Linked DNA regions of Caenorhabditis elegans. The protein of the gene in region 1 interacts with the protein of each later gene in a pairwise test. Each region holds a gene or a part of one and is shown on either strand. Other genes may lie near its edges. The genes, in order: C15H9.4, cfz-2, mig-22 and ral-1.

Region 1 (4,832 bases):
TTTTAGGTCAATTCAACACTTGGTAGAGGGAGCCACTACAGATGGAAAAGCCGCAGCCAATTTGGAAAAACTACGTTTATTTCGACAATTTTATATTCTCGTTGTCGTCTACATCTACTGCACGAGGTTTTTTGGCTTCATATTACTCGTGAGTTTTAGAATTATAACAATTAAACATGTACAAAAAAAATTCTTAGCTTCAAGCCAGCGCCAGTGGGAAAAGTGTTGAAACCCCACTTTTGTGGTGCCAAAATTCCAAATATCACAGTACAACTTTATACAATTTTTTTAAATTTTTGATATTTCGTTTCAAAAACTGGTAATTACTCAGGTTTTACTACTTCATTGAAGTGGTCGGTCAAAAAAAAAAACTACCTTTGGATTTTATAGTCTACGTATGTTTCAAACATCGGTTTTTAAACAATGTAAGTATAGATTGGGACAGTGCCAAAAAAAATGGCAAAATCTCAGTAAATGTCACTTTTTGACTATGAATTCAACATTTGTAAAAGATTTACTATGATATTCGGTCTTTTTGGTAACCTAGGAGCGTGTTCTAACAATATCGTCACCGGCTCCTACTCTAATTTTAATCATACATATGTGTGCATAATTATTCCCGTTCAGCACTTAATGCCTGTGAACCTCCAATGGACCATTGTCGCTGCAGTCGAAATGGTTACCTTCGCATTTTTCATCATCGTTGGCTACAAATTCCGGCCTGCCAATTCACACAATTATCTGCTCTTGAACTCGGATTTTGATAGCTATGATGTGGAGACATCGCCGAAAGAAGATAGGAAAGATAAAGAAAACAATGAGCAAGAAATTGATGAGCAGTGAGTCATTCGTTTTATCATCTTTGTGAAAAAATCAAAACCTTGAGTTGAGAAAATCTTGCAGATTCCTGACAAAAGCCTACTCAGATGCCAATGTGTCGAGGAGATTGGTTTCAGATGAATCATCAAACAACCAAACCGACTATCCCCATCAGAAACTTTTGAAGAAACCGTGAGTGGCTTTCAGTATTAATACATAACATTCAATAATAATCTGTATTTGTTCAGTTCTCAAACCTACGAACAATCATTGCTAGATTAATTATAATCCGTTACAACAACAACAAAAACAACAACGAGTTCAGTGCAAACGGAGGGAGGCTTATCAACTCAACCAACCAACTGTTTCGATTATAATACTATTATGGACAGGATGATCATCCAGACTTCTATCGCGTTCTACTCACTATTTTCAAACATTTTGCTTTTCAAATAACATTTCTACCGGTCCTTTCTAGATGCATGATAATGTGTATATAACTATTTTAAGATAATGATGAAAATTGAAACTGATTTTGAAATATGATAAAAACAATTTCAAATTCCATTGCAATATCAATCATTCCTTAGAAAATATTATCATCATTATCTAAAAACTTCAAGATGTATGAACTAAATTTTTTCAAACATATAGGTGAAAGTACACTGGCCAAAGTGTATAAATTCTAGTCTCCGCCTCCTTTTCCCCATCTCTAATCTTTTTTAGTTGTAACATTTAGTCCAATAAATTTCCAGTCGTGTGATGTGATAACTCGAGACTCCCTGTAAAAAAATATTGTTAATTATTTTTCATTCTATTGTGTACTATTTTCTGAACCTTCTGTGTCTTTGTGTGCTCTATGGTCATCTAGTGAATTCAATATCTTATAATTCATTAATGAAAAGAAGATTTTTTTCCTTACTTAAAATCCTTTGTAACATTGATATAACCTCATATTACAACATCTATACAATATTTCATGCAATTCAGAACGACAAACCAACTCTAATGAGGGATCGCCGCATTGGACAGCTGTCCGAGTTAAAAGGACTAGTGGTAAGAGAGGGGTGAACAAGCATGGCGAAAGGGGGTACGCATTATTGCGTGCGCGTGTTTGCGTACTGCGCGTATTAGCCATTGTCTGCCGACCACCCGGAATCCGGCCATTTTCTGTGCACCGCAATAGCCAATACCGCTCGATTATTAGTTTTACGAGCCAATTTGCTCTTTTTATAATCCATCTTAGCTGTTATCGATTTTTTTTCGAGTTTGTATGGTTTTATATGCATTTTTGTTTTGTTATTAATGCTATTATTATTGGGTTAATTGCGCAAAATAGTTTTCCAAAAGTTTTTATGTTGAAATAATAATTTCCTTCTTTATACTCCTTTTCTAATTATCATCATGGTTTTTTCTCTTTTATCTGTCGTTTCCCTCAAATTGCAAGAAAAGTGTTTTCTTTTTAATTTAATCACAAAATGATTATTTTTAAATTATTAAAAACAATATGATTTATGGTTCAATTTCAACATTCACTTGATGTATATCAATTTATATTGATTTTTCGCGTGAAAATATCTCAAAAGAGCTAATTGAAGCGCGGAAACTTGTTTACTGTGTTCTTTTTCTCTGTCTGATTCACCAGACATCACAATGCTCAGTTAGAAGGCAAAAACATTTTTTCCTCTCCTATATGCCTCTCATTGTTTTGGCCGTTTTTGGCCGTGTGGATTACTGTTTTACAAACTGTAGAATAGAATTTTCACACTTTTTTATTTTTCTTGATGTAAAAACTTTGATTTTGAACTGCAATCCGATAGGGGGAGATCTTCATTGAAAAAACGTTTTACCGCACTAGAATGTTCTCATAATTAATCAAACATTAACCAGTTTTAATCAACTCAAAAAAGTGGAACTTTACCCTTTGATAACAACTCCATTTCCGACTATGATGGTCAACGGTGCAATGATAAGAGAAACGTCTCCCCCTGTATATTGACATTTATGTGCTTTTTCAATTTTCCATTGACTACATATAAGACAGTAAGGTGGACAATAGGAAATAGTTTTGCTCTATTTTATGTTTTTGTTCACCACTTCCGTACCTGCAAAAAAGAATTCAGAGCTTGAAACCTTGCCACCTATTACGACCACAGTTTGCGTACAAATGAGTGTGTGTGTCCGTTCGCGTCCGGCCAATCCTCTCTTCGTCGCCTAGCCGTTTTTTCGCGCGCCTCGATCTTGATTTTCCGCGTTCCTGCAGTTTTCTGTGTTTTTCCGAAACTAGGCAAAATCAAAACGCGGCGCTCGATTTCTTTTCCATTTCCTGTTGACTAAGAAAAGAGTGTTTTAGTCAATCTTCCAAAGTGGTTTGATTGACATCGACGCCCCTATTTCACCACCAAAGCGTCTTCTTGCCCCCCGCTTCTTTCTTCCCTCATCTTTCAACCCTTGCCCCATAGATGGATGGCTTTTACATACTTTTGGAATACTTGCACTTCTCCCGCTGCTTGCTCTGTGTAGTTCAAAGTTGTCGAGAAGAACAAAAACTGCAAAAGGCATTTTCTTTTTTTTTTGCTTTTTCGCTTCATAGATCGTCGTCATGAATTATGTTTGGCGCGTTTGAGTGAGGTGTGAGTGCAAAGACCTTGAAAAACATTTCAATCGTTTTTTTCACAGATGAGCAGGTTGCCTATATATCTCCCCTCTCGTCAACTCGCTTTTTGTCACCATTGTTCTTTTGACCATTTTTACCACCTCTAACCTTTCGGGTTGATGTGTATCTCAATACTTTTTACGGTTGCGCCGCATTAGACCCCCGCGTTCGGGAGGAGGCTACCCCACAAGTGTTGACATACTCTTCAACGTTTCTACGTTTAGTTGTGCCCTCAATTTGTTATTTTGATTTCTTTTGGGCAAACATAACTATATTCCTTTTATTTGCCAATTTAATGTTTCAAAAAGTCGATTAATTACGTTCACAGCTCCCTTTACGAAATAGTGATGTGAATTGAAAATTTACTGGAGAATGAACTACTGGGTTTTAAACTTTGTCGTAATAAGTGCAAATAATTAACCGGATTTTTTTCTCAAAATTTGAATACCCGCGCAAATTCTTGCTGAACAAATTTTGTATGTTTTTTTTCCAAAAAACATTTTTTGTAGCAAATGAATTTAATATATTTTTTATAAAATAACCAAATATCATAATAAAACTTTAAAAAAATTTTGAAAATGTTTTTTATTTTGAGTAAAAAAGCTGTGAAAACTCAGTATTTATATATTTTTTCTATTTTTATTTTTTCAAAAATATTTTTTCATCCAGTTTTGTGCTTTGATTATATTCAAAATACTTATATTCAATAATTTCCGCATTGTAGAGATTATAACTTTTTACCGCTTCTGACTCGAAATAAGATTTTGTCCAAAGTTTTTTGATAAGTTCTATTATCATATTTGGTCATCATATATTATAAATCATGTAACTATATAAATATTTTAGGTCATAGCAAAAATGAATAGGAATTTCAAAAAAAAAATAAAAGCAAGTCCTTATTTGTTTTGCATACTTTTTCTAAATTTCTTTCAAGTTTTAGTTTTAATGTTAAAAAGTATAACAAACCGTCTAAAACTAATAATAGAGCGTCTTTACAGTCCAAACAAAATACGTGAAATTGATTTCCCGCCTCTTCAGACTTTTTCAAGCTGAAATATTTCGATCTCAACATTTTTGTTTAAATTTTGTAATAGCACAAAGTTCCAGAGTGCATTCTACATGTTTAACCATTTTTCCCCATTTCCACATTTTTCAATCGATGAAAAATTAATATAATGGCGTCGGATGAGACATACATTCTTTTATTTTCAAAATGTTCAGAAAAAAAGTTCCACTCACACCTCGTGATACAGTGACTCAGCCACTTTGAAATGACCAATTGTTAGAAAACTATTTAGTTGGTGGTTATAATTTACGTTTATATTTTAAATCATTTGACATGTTTCTCATTAAATTC
Region 2 (5,612 bases), on another chromosome or scaffold:
GAAAACTTGTTTTTGTATCGGAAAAATTCTAAATTTTTGTATAATTTATCAGTACATTTTTAATTTTTAATCAACTTTTCGTAGAGTCGGAACTTTTTTTCTAGTAGTTTTCAGGATTTGCGATTTTAAAATTAAAATTATTTGAAGGTTGTCTAACATGACCAAACATCAGTAAAAACACTACAAAAAATATAGATTTTTGAAAGATTCCAGTCAGTTTTCGTAAATTGCCAAATTTTTAAAAAATGTGTACCTTTTGGGAAATTTCCACAATTAATAAAAAAAACAATTAAAATATAAAAATTGAAGAAAAATATGCAATTTGTTCCAATTATTTCAGTGCATTAAGAAATTCCAAAAAAATTTTTTAAAAGCTTTTACTGTAATTTTTGGTCATTTTAAAAACACATGCCAATACTCTTTAAAATTTTTTTAAAAAAATAATTTCCGGTCGCATGTTCCGACCCCTACAATGTTTTAATACAAACAAATAAAACAAAATTAAAGTATGAAAATGTAGGGCAAAAAATTTATTTTGATCGATTTCCAAAATTATGAGTTTTTGCCTATTGAGTAATTGTCATTTTTTGCCAGTAAATAAAAAATTTTCAAAAAGTTTTTGAAACGTTTTATCTTAATATTCGGCTATTTTGGCACCAAGTCAGTAGTTTTAACACTTTCCCTACTGGCGCTACTCCACCTATAATAATTTCAGCCCTATCCACATCTCTAACCCATCCTCCATTCCACCTGTTGTTGCTCACAGTGGGGGTCACCTCCTCCTTTTAGCACCTTCCAAAATTTTCCAACTCCTTGCCAGCCACCACTTTGCCCTCCCCTATTTGCACACTCTTCTCTCCTCCCCCTTTCCATCTCCCCCAGCTCATTCATATATATGTACATAACTTCAGTAGTTGTTGGTTGGAGGTGGTAGAGTCAAAACATATCTCCTCTTTCTAGGCTCTTCTTATGCAACCTGACACCCCTTGAATTCCATTCGTGTTCCGTTTGAGACCCCTATGCTTGCACAACTAGGTTACATACCCCAGCACGTAACAAAATTCTCGTATCCTGAGCCTTATTTATTTCTCATTTTCATAAATTTGTATATTCTTTTTTCAGATTTCATCCCAGATCTAAATATAGAGAATTTAGCTAAAAACATATCTAATTTGATAAAGACCTTTCCGATATATCTTGGTTGGATATATTTTTCGAGTGCCTGCAAACACTCTCTCCACATATCCTCCACTATTTCCCGCAAAAAAATCGTTTCCCCTTACTGGTTTTTTGATGCTTTTGATGCTCTGTATGATGAAAAAGTGCTCTTTGGGTATCTCTCTCTCTCTTATATTTTTGATACCGATCCGATAGCTGATCACTGGATGTTAGGTCAAAGCTCTTGTGTGTATTGTGTCATGATAGTAGTAGTACTCGGTAAATAGTGATAAGCGATCACAGTTTTGCTACGTGGATATTGATTTTTTTGTGTTTTAACGGATCATTTTCTCTAAGAACTCCCGTAACTTGACACCGATCCTCCCTCCTCAGGAGGAAGCGCATCCTTTGTACTTTTCCTGTCTTCTTATTCTCCTCCACCTTCAGCTACTTAAATCTCAAATTTCATTTATCTTTTTTTTTGTTTTTCTTTTTGTTCTTTCCTTTTTCTTTATACCTTTTCTAATATCTTTAACTTCAAAATTAACATTTTATTTCTAGATATGCTACTCCGGATCAGCGTGCTGTTCCTATTGCTTGGCTCCTGTGGGGCTCTTTTTGGAAAACGTCAAAAATGTGAGCAAATCACAATTCCTCTATGCAAAGGTATTGGCTACAATATGACATCGTTCCCGAATAGTTATGGACATGAAAAACAGGAAGAAGCCGGATTGGAAGTTCATCAATTTTATCCGCTGGTGGAGGTGAGTTTTTTAAACAATTTTCTATGAGGAAATATTTTTTGCAATAATGAAAAAAACAAAAATTGAATATTGCACCACAAATTGAGAAATTTTGAATTTCGCGCTAAAAATTCGAAAGACACCAAATTTAGAATTTGCGCTAAATTGAAAAAAAAATTAACTTGGCGCTAAAATTTTCGAAAAAAAAATCCGAATATGAATTTCGCGCTGAAAATTTAAATTTTTCAGAATGAGTTTTGCGCCAAATTTTTGAAAAAACTCAACCCTAAATTTTAAATAAAATTGAAATTTTTATATCACACCAAAAATTTAAAAAAATCTGAATTTGAAATTTCCGCCAAAAATTTAAAAATTAAAATTTTAATTTGGCGCTAAAATTTAAACAAGATTATAAATTTAAATTTGTTATATACTAAAAAAATGTGAACCTTAATTTAGTGCCAAAGTTGTTGAAAAAAAATTAGATTTAAATTTTGAGCTAAATTAAATAAAATCCAAATTTAAATTTCGCGCTCAAAATTTGCAAAAACGCAAAATTGAATTAGGCTCTAAATTACGACAAATTCACAATTTTTTTCGCAAAAATCAAGAAAAAAGTAAATTTGAAAAACTTACCTTCTTCCAAAAATCAAAAAAAAATTTATATTTCCAGGTCGGTTGTTTCCAACATCTCAAATTCTTCCTCTGCACAATGTACACCCCGATCTGCCAGGAAAACTACGACAAACCAATTCTCCCGTGCATGGAACTTTGTGTGGAGGCACGCAGCAAGTGCAGTCCAATAATGGCCAAGTACGGATTCAGATGGCCCGAGACACTGTCTTGCGAGGCGCTGCCAAAGATGTCGGATCAGATGTCGACTGGGAACATCTGTGCAGCTCCACCAGATACACCAAAGAAGCAGCACAAGGGGCATCATCATAAGAATCAGAACCAGAATCAAAATCAAAATCATAACTATAGTCCAGATGGCCCAGAAGTCGGAATTTCCAAGATCGACAATGAAGTAATAGCCGGTCCCAGCGAGTGTCAGTGCACTTGTAACCAACCGTTCCAGTTTGTGGCATCTGAAAAGTCCAAAGTTGGAAATGTAACAAATTGCGCCTACTCATGCCATTCCCCAGCGTTGGCCGAGAGTCATAGCCTGGTGAGCAACTGGATGGCGTTCTGGAGCATCACATGCTGCGTGCTAGCCTCCTTCACATTCCTCACATTCCTTATCGAGACCGATCGATTCCAATACCCCGAACGTCCGATCTTCATGTTGGCATTCTGTCAGCTCATGGTTGCCGTCGGATTCATGATTCGATATTTCGTGGGCCACGAGGAGATCGCATGCGACTCGATGAGGATTAAGGGGGCTGATGATAACTCTGGATCCTTGTGCTTCGTCGTTTTCCTGCTCACCTATTTCTTCGGAATGGCTGCCTCGGTTTGGTGGGTGATCCTTTCGCTAACCTGGGTGCTGTCGGCCGCTTCAAAGTGGTCCCCCGAAGCGATTTCCTCGTTCTCATTCCATTTCCACGTGGTCGGATGGTGCCTTCCCGCTATTCAAACTGTATTGGTAATAGTTTTTAATGCGATCGATGGTGATCCGATAACTGGAATCTGCTACGTGGGAAATACTGATCTACAATTCCAACGAATCTTTGTGCTTTTCCCATTGCTCGTATATTTCATCGTTGGAGTTTTGTTCTTGGTAATCGGATTCTGCAATTTGTGGAGTATCAGAAACGAAGTACAAAAGCAACATCCTTCACTGGAGAGTGCCCATAAAATCACGCAGTTGATGAGCAAAATCGGGATTTTCTCATTGCTCTACACAATTCCATCGTTATTGATTATCTGTGTTCTATTCTACGAGCAGAATCATCGATCATTATGGGAGCAATCGCAGTTGTGCTCATGCTCGCCAAAGCAAACTATCGGTGAGTTTTTTTTTAAACTATAACAATTTTTGATCTAAATTTCCCAGTAAACATTTTTTTCACATTAAAAAATTTCAGTTGCTCGCTAAAATTGTTTTTAGAAAATTAAAAAACGAGTTTTCTAAAAATTTTCCCAAAAATTTGTTTAATTCCACCAAACATTTTTTCTCAAAAATTCAAATTTTCCGCAAACATTTTTTTAAAAATTTGATTTTACCGCCAATATTTTATTTCGAAAAAATTGAATTTACCGCCAAAAATATTCTCTGAAATTTAGAATTTCATGATAAAAATTATTCAAAAAGTTTAATTTTTCCGCAAAATTTTGCCTCAAAAATTGTGAATTTCTTTCCACATTTCCTTTTCAAAAATTCGAACTTCCAGCTAAAATTTTTCTCAGAAAAAAATTTAAATTTACTGTCAAAAAGTTTCTCAGAAAATTTGAATTTCCGCCAAATTTTTTTCCTCAAAAAATGTTAAATTAGTGTCAATAATTTTTTTTCAAAAATTTTAAATTTCTCGCCAAATTTTTTTTCTGAAATTTGAACCCCCCCCCCCCCCCCTATTATTCTTCATAAATTTTAAATTTTCAGGCGACTCCTCACTGATCATCTCCCTTATCAAAACTTGCTGTATGTGCATTTTGGGATGGACGTCCGGATTTTGGGTGTGCAGCACCAAAACTCTATCGTCGTGGAAAAATGCTATTTGCTGTTTGGGTAAGTTGAATCTAGCTTGAGTTTAAACAAGTTTTATTAATTTAATAATTTTAGGTTCCTCCCGATCTTTACCCAAATACCAACCGGCAGACATACTTTACGCTAAATCTGACATGTCATCCTCACAATTCTACAACACAAGTCTCCGACACAACCATCTTTACGGAGGCATTCCTGACAAGCTGTAGTGCTCAAGAAATGCATATTTAATATTTGTGATCCCCGCACATCTACCTCTTCAGGACCAACTTTCCACAATACTTGTAGTCGTTAAAATTAGTTTTTTCTCATGAGCTTTTACCTCTTCTTTCTCACCATCATCATCCCATTGATCTCAAGTTCCCGGCATTCTTTCTCAGTTTTTTTAAAAGAAAAGTTTTTGCAAATAATTTTAATATCACAAATTTAATAACTAAAAACAATGTTTTTGTAATCTTATTAGAGTGTTGTTTTTTGAATACTGCCTGTTCCTCTTGTCGAGCTTTCGGAATGTACATACCTAATAAATATTATTTTAATTGATGATTTTTTTGTTGAAAACATTTACGGTATATTAGAAGATTATTTCATGAATATTGTCAGTCAAGACACTTGTGTTCGATTGAAATTCACTTTAAATGGCAGAAAAACGACCGTCATGACCGAATAAACTGTTAAAAAGTTTTTAACATTTTTTTTGAATTTTGCCTATATCAAAATGTGGCCAAACTGAATTTAAATTCCCACGCAAATGAGTGACGTCATTTTTTATATTTTCGCGTTTTCTGGCTAAAATCATGATTTTTCTGGATTTTTTGTTCTAAATTTAATACATGTTTGTAAATTTTCAGACACTTTTCCAAAGAAAAAACATACAAATCATTTACTATATATAAAGCGCGTGTCCTTCTGTCCCTATGTAGTTTGATCTTTGATCTTTGGTCTTTGAACTCTGTAGTCTGTAGTTGGAAGAGGTATTGGGTTGGAAGTTGGTGATGGATAATGTCAAGGTACTGTAGTGGTACTGTAGGAGTACTGTAGGTATACGGTAGGGTTACTGTAGT
Region 3 (6,099 bases), on another chromosome or scaffold:
AGCCAATGGTTGAACAGTTTGAGCGATGATGTAGGTGTTGCGTTGTGTACGGTTTCCTTGTTCGTCCTTCTGTCCTCCAGAATAATGAAGTCTCCCCTGAACCATAAGACGGGATCCTTTCTTGATGGTTTTTGAAAGGATTTCGGCTTGCTTTCCGAAAACTGAAACGGCGTGACGTTCAGTTTGATCGAGAGTAGTTCCGTCTTGCTGCTTGAAGTACGAGTTGGTGATGATATTGAAGATGAGGTAAGGTTTTCCGTTCCTTCCAGTCTTGTACAATGGATCCAAGGCGACTCCTCCGACTAGTTCCACTTTATTCACACTGAAATAGTGATAATAAATAAATTTTGAATCGATATGATCTGAATTCAAAATTTGTTTTTTTATGCTTTCAAAATTGAAATTGTATCTTTCACAGCTATTTTACAACAATATTCGAACGACTTTTTAATAAGTAATTTTTATTGTCAATCGTTGCGTTTGTGCTTTTGAAAATTGTGACATTTTATTTTTTCTAGCAGGAACTTTGATACAAATTATTAATCTCCTAGTTCAGAAAAATGCAAGTTTAACATTTGTGTAAAACTCATATCATACCTGTATGCATGCCGTCTTTGTTCTGGGTTATGATGTTGTGGTTTTTCAGCGAACAAGTCATCAACCTGAAACAGACAAAAATTTCATAATTGCACAATTCGCTGTTTTTCAACTTACCTCTTGCTTGCTCGGTTGCTCAGCAGCCATTTTGGATGTCAATGACATACAGCGGACGGTAGACTTGGAGATCGTGGAAAGTGAACGAAGCATTTTCTATAATTTTGGTTTATCGATTGAGCAAAATATGAGTTATTTTTAAAAATTCAATATTAAATGTTCAACGAAAAGATTTAAACATAGTATATACATTTTACAAATAAAAACGGGCTCAAAACAACTGTTAAATATGGAAAAGCAAAAATAAAATTGCATTTTTTGTGGGCGGAGTTGAATCGCGCACTGTTGCAAGCCTGGCACGCGATTTCCGCAAACACGCCGCACAGTTTACTCAGTGTTTCTCTCGCTTTTCTCTTGTCATCGGTTTATTTTTATTTTTTAAGTTTCACTGCAAAAAACCACTTTATTTCTACAATTTTATTGATTCAAACCAATAAAATTTATCAAAATTCCGTTAAATTCAAAATCTTATTTCGGATTTTCCTATATTTGATTGTTATTAGATGTTCATTCTAAAACTACTAAAAAGATATTCATAATTCCAATGTATATGTTATTTTAATTATTCCCACGAATTATCTGTCATATTTCGAACTTAATTTCCTAATTCAATTAAAATTGAGATAAAATCTTGAAAATTAAGAAATTAGAAAAACATTCTCAAAATAGCATGTTATTAACGGTTTCACTGTCCTCGAACATTAAATTTTCTAAAATGACCTTAGTTAGTCAGGTCAAGTACAGAACATAATGTCTGCGTCTCTTTCAACTCAAGACTATCTCTTCAAACACCTTCTTACAACGTCGGCGTCGATCACAGCCTCTTCTCGTTTTTTTTGTCTTCCGTCTGCATCGCATACCGAAGAAGGTTGTCGCTCCACTCACATGTCCTGCAATCATTTTACGAGCATTGTCACACACATCTTCTATGACGACTGTTTTGCATTCATTCATAAACCCGTATTGTCTTTTCACGCTTTTCTTTGATCAGTTAACCTGTGTTCTGCTCATTCATGCTCAAACATCACTATTTGCTCTTGTTCACTTCACTTTCTTATTGTAAATTTTCAGAGCTTCTTCACAAGAAAACTTCGTTATTGGAATTGTATCAAGGCGTATTGCTGACTGTTTGGTACGTTTTTCACCGGCTTTGAAAAAAAGTTTAATAATTCTCTATTCCTTTTTTAGAATCGAAGAATGGTCGGCGGCGGTCGAACAGGCATACACTTGCTTCTTGGATTCCTTATAGGTGCCGCTCTCGCGCTCTTCTTCTTTTCATCCACACCAAGTATAGACTTGACCAGCTCATTGGCTGCATTTACATCATGTCAGAATCAAGAAACAGAAACGAATGTTCTTGAACCATCGGCACTGGAGAAAGGGCGAGTATATAAAGATTTATCTGAGCATTGGATTGTGAGTAGCTTTAAAAAAAACACAAAATTTCATGAAAGAATCAAATTTAGGTTCACCAAGACGATATGCCAGCGCCTCCTCATAATCAAGACGCTACTCCAAAGGTTACAAGAACTCGATTTGCAGCCACTGAACTCGGTACACGTGAACGAGTTATGGCCGCAGTGATGGCTGAGTCTGCATTGGCTCTTTCTATTAATGCAACTCTTGGGCGCCATGTTCCACGTGTACATTTGTTTGCTGACTCTTCAAGAATCGACAATGACTTGGCCCAGTTAACCAATTTGAGTCCATATAAACTAAACGGACAAAAGACGCATTCGATGGTTTTGGGTCTCCTTTTCAATATGGTTAGTTGAGTTGTTCAAAAATGTTTTTTTATGTAGTTGTCAACTACTCGTATTTCAAAAAAAAAAGTCATAAAACTATTTCAGAATCAATTATAATTGTCAATTGAATGTTTTTCAGTAAGTTTACCCCATGTTGTAAAGTCGATTTTGGTGTAAAAATTCCCCTGTTCAGAGTATCTCAATTGTTCTTTTTGGCTTCTTCCTGTCGGAGTTGCATTTCCTGATTAAAAATAAAATGTTTTCAGACAGTCCACAACAACTATGACTGGTTTCTACTTGCCAAAGATTCGACGTATATCAACCCATTCGTTTTGCTCAGAATGATTGATACGGTATTTTATCCAGTAATTGTTTTTGTAAAATAGTTGTTAATTGTCAGATGAATTGGAATGAACCAGTTGTGATGGGTGAAGCAGCTGAAGATGGAAGTGGACGATGCCGATTGGATACTGGAATGTTGCTCAGTCAGCCAGCAATGCATGCTCTGATGAAGTAAGCTTTAAATCAAAATTTTCACATTATGATAAACTGAAAAGTGTTTTAAACTGAATATTTTCAGCAATCGGAATGCTTGCAACAATTTCGCACTGGCAGCCGATGACGATCAACTCGCATTTGAAAAGTGCATTCAAATCGCAACAAATTTGACATGTAAGCCGCTTCATCAAGGAGTTCGTTATGAAGTTTGGCGAGGAGCCGAGAGAGCTGATTCGCCAGCTGCTCATGACTCGATTGAGGACTGGAAACATTCACCAGCATTTAAGAGAGCTCTTGCTGTGCCAAGATTACTTTCTGATGCAGATGCATCTGCACTTCATGATTATTTCGTTCGAGTTGAAATGCAAAGAGCTGATCGAGAAATTATCAAAATGGAAGCTGAACTTTCTCGTCTGGCTGAGCAAGAAGCTCGTGAAACAGGAGAAGCTATCAGCTGGCCACCAGCACTTCCACCGTATGCAAAACCACCAAATCGGTATCAAGTTTCGACTTGGGAGTACTTTACGATGACTGAACTCTTTCGAAGTGAACCTAATCAAAATGTTCGACGTCTTGAAGGAAAAGATTTCGATGATGTTGCTGAAGTTGTGGTGGCTGCTCGGCAGCAAGTTGAATCAGAAGAACCAGAGCTTGAATTTGTTCAATTGAGAAATGGATATCGAGTTTTTGATCCACGGAGAGGAATGGATTATATGGTTGATTTGACATATCGAAAGACTGTCAATGAAATGCCTGAAGTTGATAATCGATTTGAAAGTGATAATGAGGTAAATAAAAGTTCTAGAATATCTAAATCTAAATCTGAAACAGATTTTCTGAAAGTTTATAAATTTGTTTACAATCTCAGGCTGCACATGAGGAAAGTCTCAAAGAGATTGTTGTGGAAAGAAGAGTGCACGTTAGTCGAATGATTGCAAGTACGCAGCTTATGAACCAGGCACCATATGTGAAAGAAGACACAGATGTCACTGTCGTTATTCCAGTTGCTAGTGAAAAAGACGTTAGTTTTATAAAATTGAAAACCACAAAGAGAAGGGATTGTCGAAAAATGTTTATAAAATTTCGATTTTTCAAAAATAAAAAAAATGTTTTAACAAAAACTCAATTTTAAAAAAAATTGTTTATGTTGATAGAAAAATCATGAGAAAAATATACTTTTATTATTTTTAAAAAATATCCAAAATTTAAAGCTATTTTCGAAATATTTTAGTGTAAAATCGAAAATCAACATCTTTGATTAGAACTTATATATTGTTGAACATACAAAAAGTGTTTTTCTAAAGGTTTTTCAAAAAAAAATTGGTTCCCATTTTTAATTGTTTTGATATAAACAAATTGAAAATATGTATATATTGTAGGTTCTCCCAGCCCGGAAACTTCTTGCCAGACAAGCTCGCCTCTGTCTCTTCCCCACAGAAGAAGCCCGTAAAACTCGAATGGTTGTAGCCGTTTTCCCATTAATCGAATCTCGTTCAGTGACTGCTATCACTAATGATATGGAAGAATTAAAGCGACGATGCAAGCGATCACTTTTGGAAACAGATGTTCTTCCAGTACATCCTGCTGTTAGTACAGAAGGAAAGGGAACAGCTGCTGCTGCTGCGTTGGATGATGCTGTGGATCGATACGGAGCCAATACAATCTATCTTCTACTTTCTCCACATGCAGATGTTCAAAAAGAGTTCTTTGATCGAGCTCGTATCAATACGATTAAACATTATCAAGTTTTCTTCCCAGTTCCATTTGTTGAATATCATCCGACAATCTCTGGAATGGAAATGACAGAAAAAGAAGAAAAAGAGACGCCGACAGAACAAGCTCGTGAAGCTGCTTTATCACGATTAAGAGATGGAGTTGAACCAAAAAGGAAAAGAACATTGATTGTACAAAAAGAACATGGACGATTTGATTCTCAAGATTTCTCTTGTTTCGCCGTTTATGGTGTGGATTATGTGACAGCAAGAGCTAAATTCGGTCAAAATGAGAGACGGAACGACTTGATTTCTGCGTTCTTGGGACAAGATTCTATACATGTACTTAGGGCTGTTGAGCCAACTCTCCGAATTCGGTAAGATCGCCAAATTTTGTGTTGTTCCAGTGTTATTAATTAATGAATTACTTACAGATATCACAAAAGAAGCTGTGACATGGAAAGCATCGACACCGAAGATATCGCTCGTTGCCTGGACAGTAAAAAGGAAAACGTGGCGGCGAAGGATCAGTTGGCAAAATTGTTATTCCACGAAAAATGAACACCCTTCTACTCCCAACTTGTCCATGATATTTCTGCAAATACGGTTTCCTATTTTCCCTTTCTCACCTTCCTATTGCACTACAATTTTCACTTTGCCCTCTTGCTCCGAGCATAACATTTTCTTTTCATGTGAATACGATAATCCCGGCGGTTTTTCATTAAATAATTTTTAGCCCGCTTGCCACAACCCGATGCTTTATCCCCGTCGTCAAATAATTCATTTTTTACAGTTTATGTTAAATTGTGCCACATTTTTTAATTCACTAAACAAAGTACATACTATCTCGACCCGTCCACTTTTTCTATAATTTATGAATATCTGTGATTTTTAATCATAAATTTTTGTTTTGATTTTCTTGAAGAACAGTGCTTGTCAAAAAAAATCAAATTTCGCAGGCCTTGCAACATGATTTTAAAACAAAATATTTTGTTTAAAAGGAAGTTGGGCTATTCTTTTTTAAATTGTCGCAAAACTTAATATTTTACTACATTTTCTTTTTTTTTCTTTTTAAGGACATTTCGCATTAAAATCTCAAATTTTCCTTTGAAAGAACGGAATTATAATTATTATTTGAAAATTTGAGGTGGATACGGTAATTTTTAAAAGACGTGGTGAGACCCGCGCGCCCAAGATGTAGATTGCGTCTTTGATGGAAACTACGGTAAAGATGTTTTCGAAATCGATTTTTCTTTTCGGAAATTCTCCATTTTAAGTTTAACTCTTCAATTTATTATGTTTTTTTTTAATTTTCTATGTTCATTTCTGCCCGCAGAACGACAACGTGCATAATATGCACTGTAAAAGTGAGAAAAAACCTCTGGAATGATAAGAAAACCATTTTGCTCTCCTGTCCTTCTCTTACAATC
Region 4 (7,760 bases), on another chromosome or scaffold:
AATATCAAATTTTATCGATTTTCCAAGATTTTCGAAAATTTCAAACTTTTCCTTTAAAAAATTCGGAAAATTTGCTGAAAATCTACTTTCATCAAGAAAAATAGTCTAAAACTCATAATTTCCACAATAAAATTCAAATTCCCGCCAAACAATCCGCCCGTGCCGCCCTTATTAGCGGTAGAGCGCGTTTTCACCGCAGTTATCCGATTTTTAACGAAACATCGATATTTTCTTTTAATTTTCACTGTTGTTTATCATTTTTCACAACATAATAGCTTATAACACCGAAAAATCATTGAAATATTTTGGAAAATTCAAATTCCCGCGCTCCGCCGAGCAAATTGGCTATAGAGCGCGTTTGCAACAATTCCAAATTTTTTCTGTCATTTTATTGAAAAAATGTAGTTTTGCGGCATTTTAAATGTTAAAAGCAGGAAAATCCCCGAATTTAAAAAGTAATTTTAAATTCCCGCCAGCCAACAGTGCGGCGGTGGGGCGCACTTTCAATTTGGTTTTTCAAACGTTGAAAAAAACCCGCCAAAATGGGTGTTATTTTGAAGGACTCGGTGAGCTGAGTATGAATTTGAGCAGAAAATTTTTAAAAACAAATTATTTGAAAAAAAAATTCCGAAAAAAAGTTTGAAAAGAAGTTCAAAAAAAACTTTTTTTTGAATTTTTTTTTCGAAATTTCAAAAATTTTTTCCCAAAAAAAAAAGTTTCTTCTAATTTATTACTCCCTTAAACTGCCTAATTCATCAAAACTACCAAGTTATAATAAGAAAAAAAGAGTCTTGACCCTCATTTTCCTCCGATAATTGGAGTCCTTTTACTATGCCAAGGTCTTTTCTTTTCTGGAGAAGAACAATAAAAATAGAATTTATTTGGAAAATGTTTTGGGAACACTTTTCGTGATGAAAAAAAAAAATTATTTTATGGGAAAAAACGACATTTTGAGCAAAAAATAGCAGGTTTTTTTGGTAATTTTTGAATTTTTTTTTTGAAAATTTGAATTAATTGAGGCCAAAATCCAGGAAAAACAATGAGAAACTTGGAAAAATCGTTTTTTATTCAATTGTCACTCAAAAATTCAAATTCCCGCGGGCCTCCGCGCCGTTTAGCGATAGAGCACATTTTCATTGTCGCTGGTGTGCGGTAGGGCGCGTTTTCCACTAAATGTTTAATTTTCAAGTAAATCTACCGCAATTTGACCGGAAAAATCAGAAAAAAAATTGAAAACTCGTTAAACCGCGTTGAAATTCAAATTCCCGCCGACCAAGTGTGCGGTAGGGCGCGTTTTACGCAAAATTTCAAATTTTCGAGTTATTCAGCCGATATCAGGGTTATTTTGCAGCTTACAGTGAGGGGAATTCGATAAAAACCAGAACAAATTAGAAAAAATCGATAATCGACTTTAAAAAATCGATAAACTCAAGTTCCCACCTCCCCGGTGTGCGGTAGGGCGCGTTTACCGCAAAATTTTGAATTTTCGAGTAAACCAGCCGATATGGGGGTCATTTTGAAGCTCTCAGTAGGGCAAATTCAAAAAAACCTGGAAAAAATCGATATTTGCAAGAAAAATTATCGATTTTTTCAAAAATTTCGATACTTTTTTCACAGTTTTTTTGTTAAAATCCCCTCCTCTATCACCGGCAGACAGTACTAAAACAAATAACATTTCATATTGTTCTGCGTCTCTGCCTTTTCCGCCTTTTTGTCTTATTATGCATAATTGTGTAGCCGGGAGAGCGAGGCGGTGCCTCACCAAAACAGTCAAAAAGTCTGCGTCTCCACGGTTTTCTACACTATTTCTCACCCTCACTTTTCCCGTCAGCGTGTGAATAGAAAATGAGGCACTAGGCACATACGCTCTTCTGGTTGCTATTGGACACCTTCTTCCGACCCGAAAATCCGAAAATTTCGCAACATTTTTTTTTGCGAAATTTTTTATTCTTTTTCCTGAAAAACCTCGAGAAATCCCCCGTAATTTTCCTATAGTGGAAAATTTTATATTTTCTCGTTAAAAAAAATGGATAAGGTGTCCCATGTGCTCCGAAATGGGTGGAACTGGATAAAGCTTAAATTCTTGGCTCTTTGGCACTTTTTATTCCGCCGGAAGAGTGATGAACCCGAGTTTTATGATCCGGAAGGTAATATTTTGTTTTTCCGTGGTGAAAAGTTGGTTTAAATGGCAGAAATCCAGGAAAAAGTGAGGAAATTTGAGGCAAACGCGCTCTAATGAGAAATTGGCGCTGGGCGGCGGGAATTTGAATTTTTTAGCAGAAATTTGAGGGAAAATGGGGTTTAGAGCAGTTTTCATTGATATAAATAAGTTTCCGGTAGAAATTTTGAAAATTTTTTAAATTTTTAACCGAAATTTCGAGTTTTTAAATTTTCGGCATTTTTTCTGTTTTTTTTTATTTTAAGAAGGAAATCATTTATTTTTTATGTAATCCCTATAAAAATTACAGAAAAATTCAGTTTTTGAGCAGATTTTTAATAAAAATATGTAAAAACCCTGTGAAAAATAAAAAGAAAAAAAGTTTGCGCGTAAGATCTGGTGTTTTCAAGATTTTCAGTCATTTTTAAAAGGAAATCTCAATTTTTCTTGCATTTTTCACATGAAAATCAATATATTCAACTGATTTTCACAATTTTTTAGCTTAAAACTGACAATTTTCACTTTAAAATCTACTTAAAACCTGCAAAATCCTGCTTTCTACCGTACCCCTCAACTGTCGTAAAATTCGGTGTTCGCAGAGTACACAACTTTCAGAATGGAGGGTTACGGTGGTTTTTGGTCATTTTTTGATGAATTTTCTGCGGGAAAACCGGTTTTTTGGTGGTTTTTGTTGTTGAGAATCTGAAAATTTGCATAAATTTCCATTTTTAACGCTAAATTTTGCAATTTCCCGGATATTTTCTAGCCAAAAATTGAGAAATTCCCCAATTTTCGTCGATTTCCCCCGGGTTTTCCCCCTAAAACTCGAATTTTCAGCCATGGCATCGAAAAAAGCAAGCGGAACACTGCCGCCGCAACAACAAGTCGTCCATAAAGTGAGTTTTTGCCCTGAAAATTCGAAAAAATTGAATTTTTTCCCAAAAAAACTGAAAAAATCAATAAAATTGCAGGTTATTATGGTCGGAACCGGAGGTGTCGGAAAATCGGCTCTCACTTTGCAGTTCATGTATGATGAGGTGCGGAATTTGGCGAAAAACGAGAAAAGAACAATTTTTTCTGAAAAATTCCGAAAAAAACCTAAAAATCGATGTTTCAAGAAGAAAACACCGGAAATTCCGATTTTTCCGAAGAATCTAGACGAAAATCCCGGAATTTTTGCAAATTTGCATGCAAAGACTCTAAAAACGTCGTTTTTCTCAAATTTTATGTTAAAAATCCGAAGTTTTGCGATGTTCCCGAATTTTATGTCGAAAAATCTCAATTTGTACCTTTTTTAGGCCGAATTTTGTGCATTTTTTGCCAAAAACCCCAAAAAAATTCGAGTTTTGGGTATTTTACGTCAGAAAGCCTGAAAAATTCCATTTTCCCCGAATTTTATGTCAAAAAATCCAAAAATAATCCGATTTTCGAGTTTTTTTCACTCAAAAGCTCTAAAAATGCCAATTTTCCCGAATTTTAAGGCAAAAAAATCCCAATTTTGCAAATTTAATGTAAAAAATTCCGATATTTCCGTTTTCTACTTTAAATCACTGAAAAATTCCAATTTTTTGCGAGTTTTATGTCAAAAAACCCCAAAAAATCTTCATTTTTCCATTTTTCTACCCAAAAACTATGAAAAATTCTGATTTTACCGAATTTTATGTCGAAAAATCACAAAAATTCCACTTTTCACGTTTTTTATGAAAAAAAAATCCAATTTTTGGGAATTTTATGCCAAAAAATTCAAAATTTTGCCTTTTTCATATCCAAAACCCCCGAAAAATTCCAATTTTCCAAAAATTTTATTAAAAAAATACCTATTTTCGCCTTTTTTATGTCGAAAAACCCCCAAAAAATTCCAATTTTCACGAATTTTATGTCAAAAAATCCCAATTTTTTCATTTTTCTACCAAAAATACGTTGAAAAGTTCTGATTTTCCCGAATTTTATGTCAAAAAACCCCAAAAATCACAATTTTCACTCAAAAATTCCAATTTTCTCGGATTTTTTAATCTAAAAACCGAATTTATCCTTTTTTTTTGCAGTTTGTGGAGGAATATGAGCCAACAAAAGCGGATTCGTATCGTAAAAAAGTGGTTTTAGACGGTGAAGAATGCTCAATTGATATTCTTGATACGGCTGGACAAGAAGATTATTCTGCAATTCGGTAAGCACTGGAAATTGGCGAAAAATCGCTGAAAAATCGAAAAAATCACGAAATTTGGATGTTTTTCATCAAATTTTAGAGAAAAATTGCCAAAAATCGGCTTATTTTTCGTTATTTTCAGCAAAAGTCGTCATTTTAAGCCGATTTTTTGGGATTTTCCGGAAAAATCGGAGGTTTTGAGCCGGTTTTTGAACTTTTTTTCCCACCAAAGACTAAATTTTAAGGAATTTTTTGTTTTTTCACGCGAAAAGAGCCAAAAAATCGTAATTTTAACTGATTTTTCCCCAATTTTTTCAATTTTTCAGTGATAATTACTATCGAAGTGGTGAGGGATTTATTTGTGTCTTTTCGATTTTGGATATGGAATCATTTGAGGCTACAAACGAGTTTCGGTAAGTTTTTTCGACATTTTGACTGGAAAAATGAAGAAAAATTGATTTTTTCACCCTAAAACATTGAAATTTTCAGTTTTTTCTCGAAAAATTGGACAAAAATCGATAATTTTTAATGAATTTTCAGTTTTTTTTTTTGGCTGAAATTTGACAAAAAAAGGAGGAATTTCAAGAAAATAGGGCAATTTTCGATAATTTCCACCTAAAAATTCCTAATTTTGACCGATTTTAAGCGAAAAATTTGAAAAATACACCAAATTTCTGCTAATTTTGCCATTTTCGAGCAAAAAAGTAATGAAAAATGCGAATTTTGGTCACTTTTAACTGGAATTTGGTTGAAAATAGCAAAATTTCGACCAAAAAAGTCCTGAAAATGCGAAAAAATTGATTTTTGGTCAGTTTTAACCCGAATTCCATGAAATTTTCAATAAAAATGTAAAAATTTGCTCGTTTTTAGCAAAAAAAGATTCCAAACTGAATAAAACACTTTTTCGTGCTAAAAAATGCCAAAAAAATGTCAGATTTTCGATGAATTTTACTGAAAATATGCAAATTTCTGAAATTTTCTGGCAAAAACTCCAATTTTGGTTCATTTTAACCCTAAATTTACTAAATTTTGACTAAAAACTGTCAATTTTTGCCTATTTTAGACCGAAAAACCCCGATTTCGGGCATTTTTCACCCATATTTCGTAAAATTTTCACTCAAAAATGTCCAAATTTGCCTATTTTCGGTCAAAAAACTCGGATTTTGGCCCATCTTAACCCTAAACTCACGAAATTTTCGCTTAAAAATGTCTAAATTTGCACATTTTTGTCTTTCAAAATTAGTAAAAACTCGAAAAATTGTCAATTTTTACCCAATTTTCATGAAATTTCTCCTCAAAACTTTCAAAATTGCGTATTTTTGTTTAAAAAAACTCGTAATTTGGTCCATTTTAAGCCTAAACTTACAAAATTTCGACTTAAAAATGTCAAATTAAGCCTATCTTAGGCCGAAAAACTTGAAAAATGGTCAATTTTAACGCGAATTTTGTGAAATTTTCACTAAAAACGGCCAAAATTTGCCTATTTTCGGTTGAAAAAACTCTAAATTTCAAGAAAATTTCACTTTTTCACACAAAAATCTCAAAATTCGCCTATTTTAGACCGAAAAACTTTTTAAAAAGGTCGGTTTTAACCCAATTTTCATGAAAACTTTCAAATTTTACGCTCTATAGACCCGAAAACTCGGATTTTAGTCAATTTTCACCCCAAATTTGCCAAATTTTCATTAAAAACTTACAAAATTTGCCTATTTTTGTTCAAAAAACTAGGATTTTGGTCCATTTTCACCCAAATTTCATCAAATTTTCACTAAAAACTTTCAAATTTTGCCTATTTTAGGCCGAAAAACCCCGATTTTGGGCAATTTTCACCCAAATTTCATGAAATTTTCACTCAAAAATGTCAAATTTTGCCTATTTTAAGCCGAAAAACTTGAAAAATGGGAAATTTTAACCCGAATTTTGTGAAATTTTCACTAAAAACGGCCAAAATTTGCCTATTTTAGGCCGAAAAGCTTCGATTTTTAGACAATTTAGGCCCAAAACCCCCGTTATTTCTTGCAGCGAACAAATTCTTCGTGTCAAAAATTCGGATTCATCAGTTCCAATTGTATTGGTTGGAAATAAGGGTGATATGCGTGATCAACGTGTTGTATCAGCTGAATTATGTCGACAACGTGCTGAACAATGGGGATGTCATTATGTTGAGACATCGGCTAAAAGACGTGAAAATGTTGATAAGGTATTGGGAAGAGATTTTAGGCTGAAAATTTGGAAAATTCGGCGAATTTCAGCCGGAAAATTGGAAAAATTGGAGAAAATAGTCAAAATTGGCGGAATTTTGAGCTGAAAAGCGAAAAATTCAAATTTTTGACACAAATGTCTCCAATTTTCAGCAGGAAATAAGTTTTCGGCTGAAAATCTGTGAAATTCAGCGATTTTTGAGCTAAAAAATCCTAAAACTTTGATTTTTTCAGTTAAAAAATCATAAAATTCCACTTTAAAGTTGAAAAATCAAGAAATTCGATTTTTTCCATCTAAACAATCATAAAATTTCAAGTTTTCATCAAAAAATTCATAAAAATTCGATCTTTTCGTGTAAAAAATAACAAAAAAAAACATATTTAATTTTCACATGAAAAATCAAAAAATGGCCTTTTTTTAGTTAAAAAACAATTTTTTTTGCTGATTTTAAGAGCTTTCATGACAAATTCCCTGAAAATTTTAAAAATTTCACTTTCTGAGCCCGGAAAATTCATTTTGAGCTAATAATTGTGCTCATTTTGGAGAATTTCAATTTTTCAGTCAAAAAAATATAAAAAATTTCGATTTTTTCAGTTAAAAACTCAAAAAATTCAATTTTTCAGCTAAAAACCTACTAAAATTTTAATTTTTCCTGTGAAAAAAAAGGTACGGGAGGATTTTAGGCTGAAAATTTGGAAAATTCGGCGAATTTCAGCCGGAAAATTGGAAACATCCAACGTTTTTAGGCTAAAAATCGAGAAAATTGGAGAAAATAGTGGAATTTTGAGTTGAATAGTGAAAAATTCGTCGTTTTTAGATTAAAAATTCGAATTTTTAATGAAAATTTGTGAAAAATTTCAAAATTGTATGGATTTTGTGCAATTTTTAGCCAAAAATAGTCAATTTACTCCGTTTTTTTTTCACTAAAAATTTCCGAAATATGCCATTTTCCAGTTTTTTTTATCTAAAAATCCCCAAAATTTCAATTTTGTAAAGTCAAAAAAATCGATTTTTAGTTTGGAAAATCGCAAAATTTCGTTTTTTTTCAGTTAAAAACTCTAAAATTTCAATTTTTAGTCCAAAAAATTATAAAATTTCAATTTTTTAGTTCAAAAAATCATAAAATTTCAATTTTTAGTCCAAAAAATTTCAATTTTTTAGTCCAAAAATCGTAAAATTTCAATTTTCCGGTGAAAAATTATGAATTTACAATTTTTCCCAGTAAAAACTCTCATTAAAAAAATCGTTTTTTTT

Evidence for each region.
Region 2: the proteins of C15H9.4 (region 1) and cfz-2 interact in a two-hybrid assay, tested with the Caenorhabditis elegans proteins (one large-scale study listed by BioGRID).
Region 3: the proteins of C15H9.4 (region 1) and mig-22 interact in a two-hybrid assay, tested with the Caenorhabditis elegans proteins (one large-scale study listed by BioGRID).
Region 4: the proteins of C15H9.4 (region 1) and ral-1 interact in a two-hybrid assay, tested with the Caenorhabditis elegans proteins (one large-scale study listed by BioGRID).

Annotation. Positions count from the first base shown.
Region 1 is NC_003284.9:6,095,838-6,100,669, forward strand, and holds the start of C15H9.4 (Transmembrane and coiled-coil domains protein 2), read left to right. Parts: upstream 1-1,805; 5' UTR 1,806-1,875; intron 1,876-4,832. Other genes in the region: C15H9.5 (GOST seven transmembrane domain-containing protein), read left to right, coding at 7-148, 628-839, 904-1,011, 1,068-1,101.
Region 2 is NC_003283.11:3,440,985-3,446,596, reverse strand, and holds cfz-2 (Frizzled-2), read left to right. Parts: upstream 1-1,719; 5' UTR 1,720-1,721; coding exon 1,722-1,922; intron 1,923-2,574; coding exon 2,575-3,850; intron 3,851-4,443; coding exon 4,444-4,569; intron 4,570-4,623; coding exon 4,624-4,757; 3' UTR 4,758-5,093; downstream 5,094-5,612. UniProt on the Caenorhabditis elegans protein: Receptor for Wnt proteins.
Region 3 is NC_003281.10:8,763,022-8,769,120, reverse strand, and holds mig-22 (Chondroitin sulfate synthase mig-22), read left to right. Parts: upstream 1-1,785; 5' UTR 1,786-1,846; intron 1,847-1,902; 5' UTR 1,903-1,911; coding exon 1,912-2,130; intron 2,131-2,180; coding exon 2,181-2,480; intron 2,481-2,564; exon of another isoform or gene 2,565-2,597; intron 2,598-2,725; coding exon 2,726-2,812; intron 2,813-2,859; coding exon 2,860-2,972; intron 2,973-3,039; coding exon 3,040-3,745; intron 3,746-3,825; coding exon 3,826-3,978; intron 3,979-4,336; coding exon 4,337-5,046; intron 5,047-5,103; coding exon 5,104-5,230; 3' UTR 5,231-5,582; downstream 5,583-6,099. Other genes in the region: mtss-1 (Single-stranded DNA-binding protein, mitochondrial), read right to left, coding at 1-322, 598-662, 715-807. UniProt on the Caenorhabditis elegans protein: Has both beta-1,3-glucuronic acid and beta-1,4-N-acetylgalactosamine transferase activity. Transfers glucuronic acid (GlcUA) from UDP-GlcUA and N-acetylgalactosamine (GalNAc) from UDP-GalNAc to the non-reducing end of the elongating chondroitin polymer.
Region 4 is NC_003281.10:3,309,571-3,317,330, forward strand, and holds the start of ral-1 (small monomeric GTPase), read left to right. Parts: upstream 1-1,739; 5' UTR 1,740-2,026; coding exon 2,027-2,147; intron 2,148-2,995; coding exon 2,996-3,054; intron 3,055-3,129; coding exon 3,130-3,195; intron 3,196-4,203; coding exon 4,204-4,325; intron 4,326-4,630; coding exon 4,631-4,717; intron 4,718-6,326; coding exon 6,327-6,504; intron 6,505-7,760.